3 linked regions of the Mus musculus genome follow. The protein of the gene in region 1 binds, or shares a complex with, the protein of each later gene. Links are inferred from orthologs where the notes say so. Each region holds a gene or a part of one and is shown on either strand. Other genes may lie near its edges. The genes, in order: Map2k1, Ksr2 and Ksr1.

Evidence for each region.
Region 2: the proteins of Map2k1 (region 1) and Ksr2 are in contact, whole or in part, in a crystal structure (PDB 7UMB), measured with the Homo sapiens proteins. The link is inferred for Mus musculus from reciprocal best matches to the Homo sapiens genes MAP2K1 and KSR2. Residues at the interface, in NP_002746.1 of Homo sapiens: Val81, Glu102, Met219, Ala220, Asn221, Ser222, Phe223, Val224, Gly225, Thr226, Arg227, Ser228, Met230, Arg234, Leu235, Gln236, Gly237, Met308, Ala309, Ile310, Phe311, Glu312, Leu314, Asp315, Val318, Asn319; in NP_775869.4 of Homo sapiens: Lys674, Arg818, Asp820, Lys821, Leu822, Arg823, Ile824, Gln825, Asn826, Ile837, Arg838, Gln839, Leu840, Ser841, Pro842, Gln877, Pro878, Ala879, Glu880, Ala881, Ile883, Trp884, Gln885, Gly887, Thr888, Met890.
Region 3: the proteins of Map2k1 (region 1) and Ksr1 are in contact, whole or in part, in a crystal structure (PDB 9AXH), measured with the Homo sapiens proteins. The link is inferred for Mus musculus from reciprocal best matches to the Homo sapiens genes MAP2K1 and KSR1. Residues at the interface, in NP_002746.1 of Homo sapiens: Asp217, Ala220, Asn221, Ser222, Phe223, Val224, Gly225, Thr226, Arg227, Ser228, Met230, Arg234, Leu235, Gln236, Gly237, Met308, Ala309, Ile310, Phe311, Leu314, Asp315, Val318, Asn319; in XP_011523731.1 of Homo sapiens: Asn767, Gln768, Leu769, Lys770, Leu771, Ser772, His773, Leu776, Val784, Arg785, Met787, Thr788, Pro789, Asn823, Gln824, Ala825, Ala826, Glu827, Ala828, Ser829, Ile830, Trp831, Gln832, Gly834, Ser835.

What each region holds. Positions count from the first base shown.
Region 1 is NC_000075.6:64,251,136-64,254,882, reverse strand, and holds the start of Map2k1 (dual specificity mitogen-activated protein kinase kinase 1), read left to right. Parts: upstream 1-1,277; 5' UTR 1,278-1,590; coding exon 1,591-1,670; intron 1,671-3,747. UniProt on the Homo sapiens protein: Dual specificity protein kinase which acts as an essential component of the MAP kinase signal transduction pathway.
Region 2 is NC_000071.6:117,759,988-117,763,634, forward strand, and holds part of Ksr2 (kinase suppressor of Ras 2), read left to right. Parts: intron 1-1,336; coding exon 1,337-1,466; intron 1,467-3,199; coding exon 3,200-3,333; intron 3,334-3,647. UniProt on the Homo sapiens protein: Location-regulated scaffold connecting MEK to RAF. Has very low protein kinase activity and can phosphorylate MAP2K1 at several Ser and Thr residues with very low efficiency (in vitro).
Region 3 is NC_000077.6:79,144,135-79,147,881, forward strand, and holds the start of Ksr1 (kinase suppressor of Ras 1), read right to left. Parts: upstream 2,340-3,747; 5' UTR 2,146-2,339; coding exon 1,921-2,145; intron 1-1,920.

The sequences.
Region 1 (3,747 bases):
TATATGTAAGTACACTGTAGCTGTCTTCAGATACTCCAGAAGAGGGAGTCAGATCTCGTTACAGATGGTTATGAGCCACCATGTGGTTGCTGGGATTTGAACTCAGGACCTTTGGAAGAGCAGTCGGGTGCTCTTACCCACTGAGCCATCTCATCAGCCATTTTAGTTTTTCACGACAGGGTTTCTCTGTGTAGTCCTGGCTGTCTTGGAACTCACTCTGTAGACCAGGTTAGTCTCCAACTAGGGATTTCCACCTGTTTCTGCCTACCGAGTGCTGGGATTAAAAGTGTGTGCCTGACTTTATTTTTAATGATGTTTGTGTGTGTTTGGGTATGTACACAAGAGTACATGTACCCTCAGAGGCCAGAGGCATGGTATCCACTACAGCTGGAAGTTACAGGTGGTTGTGAGCTGCCCAAACACGAATGCAGGGAACCCAACTAGAGTCCTGTTAAAGCAAGAAACACCCTCAACTTCTGCGCTAGCTGTCCAGGCTACTCCAAACTTGACTTTGCCAAAAGGCTTAGAAAACGAAAAAGAGGATATGAGATTGGATACATTTAGGTCGGCTGACCCCATTAATTAGACTTCAATCTGCTCTCAAAATAGGCTTCACTAATTTACCACCTCTGCAGCACGGAGTTCTCAGCTGTGTACCTCCATTTTAGTAGAATTAAAATAGAAAAATCATGTCAGTTTAGTTTAAGGAGTCTCTTGACAAGTTTTCTTTTATTTTGAGACTGGGTCTCACAATGTATCCCTGGCTGTGTAGACCAAGCTGGCTTCGAATGCGTACACATCAGCCTGCCTCTGCCTCTTGTACTGGAATTAAAAATGTGCACTCCTGGCTTTTGTTCAATTTAGTTTGCTCTTACTCAATTCCGCTTGGCCTCAGGACACGAAAAGGGGTCCTTTTCTTATTTATTTTGTACTTTTGTCTGGGTCAAAATGACCCAGCCCAAGGGAGGAGAAGAGTTGAGATAAATAGGCCAAGCAGCCCCACTCAAAGGCAAGATGACCTGCGTGCAAGAACCTCGTACAGCAGCCACCTGGATACCGCTGGTCAGCAGAGGGCGCCCGGAAAGCCTCCCTTTAACTCCGCCCCAAGCCAATGCGCCGCGCCTCCCGTGACGTATTTCCGCGTCATCTGCCTCTGAGGCTAGTCCCCATTGGCTGTCGGCGAAGCGACGGGGGCGGAGTCAGGCGGGCGTGAGGGAAGCGCTGCAGCCCCCGTGGGGGCGGGGCCTGCTCGTTTCCCCGCCCCTCCCTCACCCTCCAGTCCCTCACTGGGACGTCTGTGCGCGGCGTCTCGGAGCGCCGGAGCAGCGGTGGCCGCACTTTCTCCAAGCTGGGGCTGTAGCTGAGCTGTGGGTAGTGCGCAGGGAGCCGTCCGAGCCCGAGGAACCGGTGTGCTGAGGCGAGAGTTCCCGGCCGGCGAGCGCGCGCAGCTGGTTCTCCGCGTGGGTTGGGCGGAGGGTCCCAGGAGCGCGGCGTTGATCGAGCCGCCCCGACTCTGGGCAGAGCCGAGGGAGGAAGCGAGAAGCGGCCGCGCGCTCCCTGCTGAGTTGCAGGCTCTTTCCCGGCTGCAAGATGCCCAAGAAGAAGCCGACGCCCATCCAGCTGAACCCGGCCCCCGATGGCTCGGCGGTTAACGGGACCAGCTCGGCCGAGTGAGTACCGGGAGTGGCCGGGAGGCCGCCACCGCCAGGCGAGGCTTCGTCACGTACGGCCCGGCTGGCGGGGGGCGAGGAACTCCGGCCGCCGGGCTATCAGTGACTAAGCACTGATTGGGTGCCTGACTCACATCGACCGTGCACCCTACAAGTCCCGATCCCCCTCTTTCCCAACAGTGTCTGTCGTCCCTGGCCACCGACATCAATCTTCGCCCAAGAAAACGAAACCTAATGCGTCCCCCCCTAGCTATTGCCTAAAGGGCATACTCTGGGATTCTGGCCTGTAACAAGACGCAGAGCAAATTCAGGTCGCTTCTCATTAACCTTTGAGACCTCCTCGGGGTCTGAGTGTGGACTTGGGATGGGTGAGCCCCATTTACTTTTGGTGCCTGACACCTGTGGGGCCTTGTGGCCGGTTGATCGCCTGGCCAGCGGGGGCGTGTGTTCACAGATTTCCCCATGGCTTTTCCCTGGTTCACTTTGGGGACTCCCTCATCCGTGGCCTTTTTCTTGAGAAGTACCTTGCTCGAGGGAGGAGTCTCTCTTCATCTGTCCGTTCATGCAACAGTTCATCCCCTCACCGGTTATTCTCCCAGCTTTGCTTAGTTGACCGGGAGCCGGAAATTGACTTGAGGCATAAGAACGATGACCAGGGAAACAAAGCCAAAGGTTGCTCGGTATCTGCAGGGGCCAGTGTTGCTTACAGACAGATAAGAGTTTATTTCATAAGGTGGGTTTCTGAGCCCACCTGTTGGGTTTCTTCTTCATCTTTCCCTGAGGTCAGGAGACTTGAGAGGTATCTGATAAAATGAAAGTAGCTTCAGGCATTCTGTCCTTTGGAGATTATTGTAACCCCCCTCCCTCCTTTCCCTAGATTTTAATAACTCAGGACCTGTTGGTATGGTTACTGTCATTGATACCTGCAGTAGTATCAATGGCAGGGCTGGTAGTGGTGGATTTGTGTGAGCATAGCCAGATTATTAAGACTTGCTTCAAACACATCTTTTCTTTAGGTCCTTGACATTGCCCTTGACGTTGGATTTGTAACATATGTCTTTGAGCAGCATAATTAGCATTTGTTCAGTGTGTATGTACAGCAGTTTACCCCCTGTAAAACAGACTGCAAGTCCCCCTCCCCTCTTTCAAGGTAAGGTATTCTTCAGCAACTCTTTTCAGGACAAATATTTTTGTGAGACAATGGAGTGGGATGGGTAGGGTCTATATGTGTAACCCAGACTGGCATAGAATTAGCACAAGCTTTTTTTTTTTTTTTAATCATATTATTTTTAAATTTTTTTATTATTTTATTTATTTACATTCCAGTTGTTGCCCCCTTCAGTCTCCCCTCCCACAGTTCCTCATCACATTCCTCCTCCTCGCCTCTGAGAGTGCCCCCCCTTCCCTGGAACCTTAAGTCTCTTTCCAGGATTAAGCTCATTCTCTCCTCCTGAGACCAGACCAGGCAGTTCTCTGTTATATATGTGCCAGGGACCTCGGACCAGCCGGTGTATGCTCCTGGTTGGTGGCTCGGTGTTCGGGTGCTCCCTGGGGTCTGGGTTAGTTGAGACTGCAGGTCTTCCTATGGGGTTGCTCTCCCCTTCAGCTTCTTTAATTTTTTGCCTAATTCAACCATAAGGGTTCCCGACTTCAGTCCAATGGTTGGGTGTAAATTATATTATTTTTAATGATACATGTGTATGTTTGTCTGCATGGGTATGTGCACATGAGTGAGGTGCCCTTGGAGGCCAGAGCTATCAAGATTCCCTGGATTCGTTGGAGCTAGTTGTGAGCCATGAGTGCTGGAAACTGAACTGTAGTCCCCTGTCACCTGCAGAAACAGTAAGGGCTCTTAAGTTTTCAAACTGCTGGGCCATCTTTCCAACCCTTAGGATAAGTTTTGTTCACTCTAGATTCTTGTCAAAGGTTAGGGCCCTATCTACCTTCAGATCTTTGATTTTGCAAGTGGAGATAGATACCTGTTGTCATGCTCTTGTTCTTTTTGACGTTGTAACTGTACTCCTTTAAAGGAAAGGTAGCTTTCATGTAAAGAACTGACTAGGGTGCCAGAGGAATA
Region 2 (3,647 bases), on another chromosome or scaffold:
AGCACTGTTGCCCTCGCAGAAATCTAGAGTTTGGTTCCCAGCACCCCGGCAGCTCACAGATGTAACTCCAGAATCTCTGATGGCCTCTTCTGGCCTCCACAGGCACTCACAAGTCACGTGGCTATATAACCCCACACACTCTTAACTAAAAAATAAAACAAAAGTTTAAATAGAATAAAGTTGCCCATGAAGACATGAGTTAACACAGTCCTTGATCAGGCAAGAGAATGCCAAAGTGCTTTGTGTTCCTGAAAGAAAGGCCCGGAAGTCTCCTTGGGGAGCAGGAGCTGGGCAGGGGTGGTGGTGACAGTGACATCATTTCCTGGGATTATTGAGATGTTCCCTGAAGTGAGAGACTTGCTTCTCAGGGAATGGAAACTATTGGCCACAGTATGGCTCAGTGACATGCCAGCTTCCCCAAGTTCATCCACCACCATGTTCACCATGCTCGCCTCATTTACATACCATCCAGCCATCACCCCGACCACATTCAAGTTCTCTGTCAGCATCCTTTCTCCTGTTATTGCATTGCTGTGAGTTAGGGGGCATGTGGCCTGGCAAATATCCATGGAGCAATCCTGGCACCGTGTGCCCTGATGCTTGGTGTTCCTCAGAGACACCCTTCCATAGGCACAGAGAGAAAGGGTGGGGCTAGCACAGCATCATCCCGGTAGCATAGACTATGGCCAGTCTGCATCACACACTATGATTCATCTTTACAGCGCACAGGTATGAAAGTAAGCTCCCGTCCCACTACTTCTCAGCATGTTGCCGCCTTTCATGATCCTCCCCGATCCACGCATATAAAAGACCCCCATATGTATTCCTCATCCCATTTCTTACACTTAGAGTGATCTATTGAGAAAATTTTATGTCAGGTACTATGGTGCTGTTTCACTTAAAAGAGTTACTTACCATCATACATACATCTGCTGACGACTACAGAGATGTTATACCATTTCCAGCTTTTTCAGTGTTACATATTAGATGGTAGAGAACAACCTCAAGAGTAAAGTATTCAAATATAGGGTTTTTTTTCCAAGTATAGAATTTTAATATATAATTGCGAGTGGCCACCGCACTGTGTTAAATTATTCAGGTCCAGTTTGTATCCATCCCGGCATCAAAATAGGTATTCTGAAACAACAAGCCTAATGTCTAACTTCAAGAGGGTTTTAAACAAATTGTCAACCCCCTTGAGAAGAGACTGCAGAGGGAAATGGCCAGCCAGGATGCTGCCCCTGTTGGTGCAGTGGGTGACGAAAGGGGCTCCAGGGTCACAACTGACACACTGTCCTGCAGCAATGCCTCATTAACTGTATCCACTGTCTGACAGCACCATCTGGTATGAGCTCCACGCCAGGGAGTGGCCATTCAAGACCCAACCAGCAGAGGCAATCATTTGGCAGATGGGCACGGGAATGAAGCCCAACCTCAGCCAGATTGGCATGGGAAAAGAAATCTCGGTAAGTCCCTATGAGAGGCAGGGTCTGGGGACACGGAGAGAGGCCACTGACACAGTCCTGAGATTTCCTGGTCTCGGGTATGAAGGTTATAGACACTTTCCCAGAGAGTGGCTAAGAAAGTGACCTGCTTGGAGCTTAAAGGGCAAATTCTCAGCACTATGCCTGCAATTCCAAGTGGCTGCCACCAGGGGCGCAATAACACTTGCTCGCCCTCTTGGCAATGGATTGCTGCTTCAGATAAAACCAAAATAGACCACCTGGTCTGTTACTTTTTAAAACAAAATTCATTAAAAGATCACAAACAGTACTAGCACTCACTTTTCCTTGCATCTCATAATAGTCTGAAACCATTATCTAACTCGAAGTATACTAGACAGAAATCAAGAAGTCTGATTGTAAGTCTGATTGATCTTCCTTTTAGACACAATGGGGGAGAACCAATAAGTCAGGGAAGCAGTAATTACCCCAGGTGTTTGTCAGGACCGCCTACCTCCAGGTTCCTCTTGCTGAGCAAGGAGATGGTGGAAATTAGCTTTTCTCCTCTGTATTTTTGAAGGACACCCACTAATCTAGTGGGATGTAGCTAGCGACTGTAGGATTCCTTCTATCCCTTGCTCAAGAAAAATACCAAGGAAACTCCCTGAAGCTATTACTGGTCTTGACAGGTCTCTGGCCTTCTAGCACGGAGCCTCCCCGGCTTATTAAAGGGTCTTACAAAGTATATGAGAAGAGGGCAAGGAGAGAGTGTCAGTGGGATATGGTGAGTGGGTGGATGAAAGAGGGTAGATGAAGAGAAATAAGGGAAATGATATAAAGGAATGGTTATGCAGATTCATGCTTTGTGGACCGAGAGATGGATGAATGGGTGGGTGGGATGTTGTGTGGATGAACGGTGGGTGGTAAGTGGACAGAGAGATGAGAGAGTGTACATAACTTGTGTGTGGATGAATAAATGGAGGGATAGATGATGAATGAGGATGGCTGAGTTCATAGGGATGGATGGGTGTATGTTGTGAATGGGTAGATGGTAGTGTGAATGGGTGATGGGTGAATAGATAATGGATACTAGAAGAAGAATGAATGGATGAGTTGATGGATGGATGGGTAGATGATGAGTAGACTGATGGGTGGCTGGGTGGTGGGATGGCTGTGTACATGAATGGATAGGTAGATGGTGGCTAGTGAGTGGATGCATGGGTGGATAGATAGATGGATGGTAGGGGTGGCTGTGTATATGAATGGGTAGGTGGGTGGTGGTTAGTGAATGGATAGATTGATAGATGGATGGGTGAATGGGTGGGTGGATGGATCGATGGATAGATGGATGGATAGATGGATGGATGGATGGATGGATGGATAGATGAATACATGGATAGATGGGTGGATGGAAGGATGGATGGATGGATAGATAGATACATGGATAGATGAATGGATGGATGGATAGATAGATGCATGGATGGATGGATGGATGGGTGTGATGGCTGTATACATGAGTGAGCAGATGGCTGGTGGCTGGTGATTGAGTGGATGGATAGAGTGGCTGGGTGGGATAGCTATGTTTATGAGTAGGTAGATTGATCAGTGGGTAGAAGGGCGGTTAATGGAGAGATGTGAAGTGGACCAGGTGGATGGACACCTGGCTGACCCAGAGCCATGCCCAGAAGCTGAGACTTAGACAAGGACTCAGGAAAGTCACCACTTAGATCCAGTCACGACTCTCTGGTCTCTTCTAGGACATACTGCTCTTCTGCTGGGCCTTCGAGCAGGAAGAGCGGCCCACCTTTACCAAGCTCATGGACATGCTAGAGAAACTGCCAAAGCGAAACCGCCGCCTGTCGCACCCCGGACATTTCTGGAAGTCTGCAGAGTATGTGTTTACCTCAGCCCCCTCCCCAGCTGGATTGCCCATTGATCTTTGTCTCCTTTTTTGATCCTCTCCCTCAACCCTTCCCTGAGCTGGCCTCACCCACTCTGTGCACCCAGCACCCAGTCACCACACTTGTCTACCAGCATCTGTCTGTCCAGGGGAGCCTATTTTGACATTGAGGTCCCCACAGTATCTACTGGTGGCTGGCACAGTGACCTCTGCCTTAGCTCTTCCTGATGGCAGATATTGTCTCAATCTGAAGAGCACATGGAAAGACCAAGTTCCATCTGTCATGTGACTAGGGTCTCCTCCAT
Region 3 (3,747 bases), on another chromosome or scaffold:
TAAGGAACCAGCTCCAAGGTCAAACTCCCATCCAAAATGGCATCCAAAGTCCTGTCTTTTCAGGGACCAGAAGGATCTTTCAAATGCATTGCAAAGAACAGGGCATGTGTCTTGTTCACACTGCAAATGGCCCTTGGGCCTTCAGAAGCCACAAGAGATGACCTCAAAATGCACCCAGTAGGGAGGCTACTGCCTAACCAGCTCAGAGGCCTGAACAGCTGGAGACTCTGGGGTATCTGATGTCACAACTTTGTCAAGATGTGCAATCTCAGAGGACAAAGAGAATTTGCAGAGAATAAAGAATAAGCCATTCTACATACAACCAGGGACCCAGGAGCACCTCAAAGGGACCTGGGGAGGAACTACAAAGGCCAACCCAGAACATTCAACAGCCCAACAACATAGCAACTCAACAGATATACATGGCAGGACAACGAGCCCAGAACTATGACACACAGGCCTCCTATTGTATCAGCCTAAAAAGTGAACTTTGCTGGACACACACACTCAGCTGTGTTCAAGAAATCCACATGCAGAGACTCCCAGTGCAGGGTTTTGTTGGTTTGTTTTTAAGGCAAACCCCAGGTCAGTCCTGCTATAGCAACTGTAACAAAAAAACAATAATAATAGCCAGCACTGTTTGGAGTCTCCCAATGTCCCTGGCTTCATGGCTTTTATGAAAATACAACTAAGGGAGAGTCACCCTGAGCATTTTGGATCAAACAAGGATTCAGGCTTGTGGTGCGAGAGGAGGGAGGGCTGGTCTTGTAATAATTACAGCAATCATCAGCTGGCTCTAGGACAGCTGGCAGATGCAATTAGCAATTGTGTGTGTGTGTGTGTGTGTGTGTGTGTGAGAGAGAGAGAGAGAGAGAGAGAGAGAGAGAGAGGAGAGAGAAAGGGTATTATGTATCTAACAAGACATCCTCAGACCTACAGAAACCAAATGTGGCAATGCCAGGGAAAGGCCCTTCTTAGGGAAAGAGTTACTAAATAACCCCTTCACTTTCAAAGGTCTTCCAGTCTCTGGGCAAAAGCAAGTTGGGAAGGCACTAGTTTCCCCCCCAATGTGTAAGGGGGTGGGGGAGCGTCCCCTTCTGAAATGCCAACCACCTTTCTGGCTGGTTCTTCCAAATCGTTTTAATGCTGCACTTCCCAACTGTATAATTTGAGAGAAGAGAGCTCACACATCTTGTTTCCTCATTGCACTCCAGGTTATCTCTGTCAGCAACCCCCTTAAGTAGCCTGTTCTTACCAAAGGTTCCCTTCCCCAGTATAATCCTTCCTAGGCCAAAGCTCAGTGTTTGGGGTGGAGTAGGGAAGTCAAAGGGTAATTTCATTTTAAGCAGTGAACCGCTGTGACATCTCCAAAGACAAGCACCCCAACGCCTGAACAGCAAAAATGCTGTTTCAGCAAACACTTTTTGAAAAGCGGCAGAGACCTGGTGGAAAGGAAAGAAACGGACAACAAGGAGAGTGGGGAGTGAGGGGAAAGTCAGTGCCACCGATCGATCGACGCTCACACTTCAAGGGACGTCCCCCACATCGCCCCAGCCCACGCTACCGGACTTAAAGCACACGGAGAAAAGACCGGCGCGTGATTCAGTGGGACAATGACTACTGTGGGCACTGGAAATAGGGTGAAGGCGGAAAGGGGTTTGCAGTGGGGTGCCCTGTGCATCCTACTCGGCACGCTGGTCTTCGAGACTCGATCCAGTTCCACGCTAACACCCCCCTCCCCTAAATTCTTCCAAAGTGAGAGCTGGTCGTAGGTCCTCACGCTGCCGCATCAGAGAGCTCGGGAAAGGGAGGAAGACTCCAGCCAGCAACCCCGCTGCAGGATGCAACTCGGGAAGGAAAGCAGTGGGGCGGCTCCCGGGCCACCGCCGGGTCCGGACGTGGGGCGCAACGGCCCCTTACCTCTAGGGTCCGGATCTCCTGCTGTGTGAGGTCGTTAGACACTGAGCACTTGGTGCGCAGCCCGCGCAGACTGCCGATGGAGATATCGATGAGCTTCTGCAGCTGGCCGCACTGCTGCAGCGCCCGGCTGACGGCGGCCCCTGCGCCCCCGTCCGCCGCGGCGCCCCCGCCGCCGCCCTCCTTTTTCTCGCCCATCGCTGCCGCGCGCAACGCCGCTCTATCCATGCCTCGGCATCGGGGCCGCTGGGGGCCGAGGCGAGGAGCCCGGGGACACGGGCGCCTCGGCAGGAAAGCCCCGAGCCAGGAAGGCTGCACTAGGAGCGCCCCTTGGCGCCGCCTAAGCCTGCAGTCCCGAAAGCCTGCTGCCCAGTCCGCTCCTCCTCCCGCCCAGACGCGGCGGCAAAGCGAAAGCCTCCACTACCCGACGGCTGTGGTTGTTGGAGCCTTTAAGCGACAGCGGGGGCCGGATCGGGGCCGCGACGCATTCTGGGACTTGTAGTCCGCGCATCGCATCTGCTTTCTGGCCCGCGCCCTCGGGGCCCCGCCCGCACTTCGGCCCCGCCTGACGTCTAGAAGGGGCTGCTCTGCGCCTGCTCCAATTCGTGCGCGTCGTGGTCTAGGGAGTTTGATTCCTTTACCCCCATCTCCCACTACTACACCCTTCTCACACACGCAAGCGCACACACATCAGTAGCTTTCCGAGACTGGCGAATGGGGTGGGGAAGGGGCTGATGGCTCAGACCCAGATAACCCCTGTCTTGTAGGATATTGAGGGTCCTAAAATTTTTGTATGAGTTTAGGGGTTACCATGTATGGGAATGCGCTAAAAGTGTAGCTCAGCGGCAGAACATTTGCCAGGCAAACACAAAGCCCTAGGTTTGATTCCCCAACACTATCAAAAGAAAAGAAAAAGAAACACCCACCTTCATCAAAATCTCACAACACCCGACGAGGCTGTGTTTGTGTTCACATAGAGCTTGACCCTGAATTGTCACACCAAAGTTACTGTGCAGGCAAGGAGAAAGGACTTTCTTCTGTGTTCTATTTACTCAACAAAATAAATTTAGTGCCCCCCATACCCTGTAGATGCCACATGGGCAAAATATTAATTTGTTGAACAGTTCTAAGAGTTTCGAGCCAGAGAGAACCTGGGTCTACCCAGTATGTGAACTTGGACAAATAGCTTTCCTCTGAGTGCCCAAGTTTCCCCTTCACATCAAATAGGGTAGTCATAGCCATCTAGTCTAGAGGGTTTCTTTAAAAAAGTTATGTTTCTAACAGCACCCATATTAACTGCTGGCATGTGCGATCAAGTATACATGCTAGCTCCTTTCTAACTTCACACTATCTAGATGAGACCCTGAGCCTCAGCAGTCAGTGGTCTTAGCAGTGGTGTTTCCCAGTCTGCCCTAATTTAAGCTTTACCACACCTGCTCATTCTCCTCTCCCATCAGTCCACCTCACATGTTCTAGCAATAAAAATGAAGTGAAAATGAGCCAGGTGGCAGTGGCACTCTGGAAGCAGAGGCAGGAGAATCTCTGTGAGTTCCAGGCCAGCCTGGTCTACAGAGCAAGTTCCAAGACAGCCAGGGCTACACAGAGAAACCCTGTCTCGAAAAAAGAAGTAAAAACTGAAGTCAAGTGTACACACTTTTAATCCCAGCACTCCAGAGGCAGAGGCAGGAGGATCTCTGTGAGTTCAAGACCAATCTGGTCAAATAGTGAATTCAAGACCAGCTTGGGCTACATATATAGTGAGGTCTTGCCTCAAAAACAGTGTTGGGTTAGACAGATAGCTCAGCAGTTAGGAGCGCTCGCTCCTGCAAA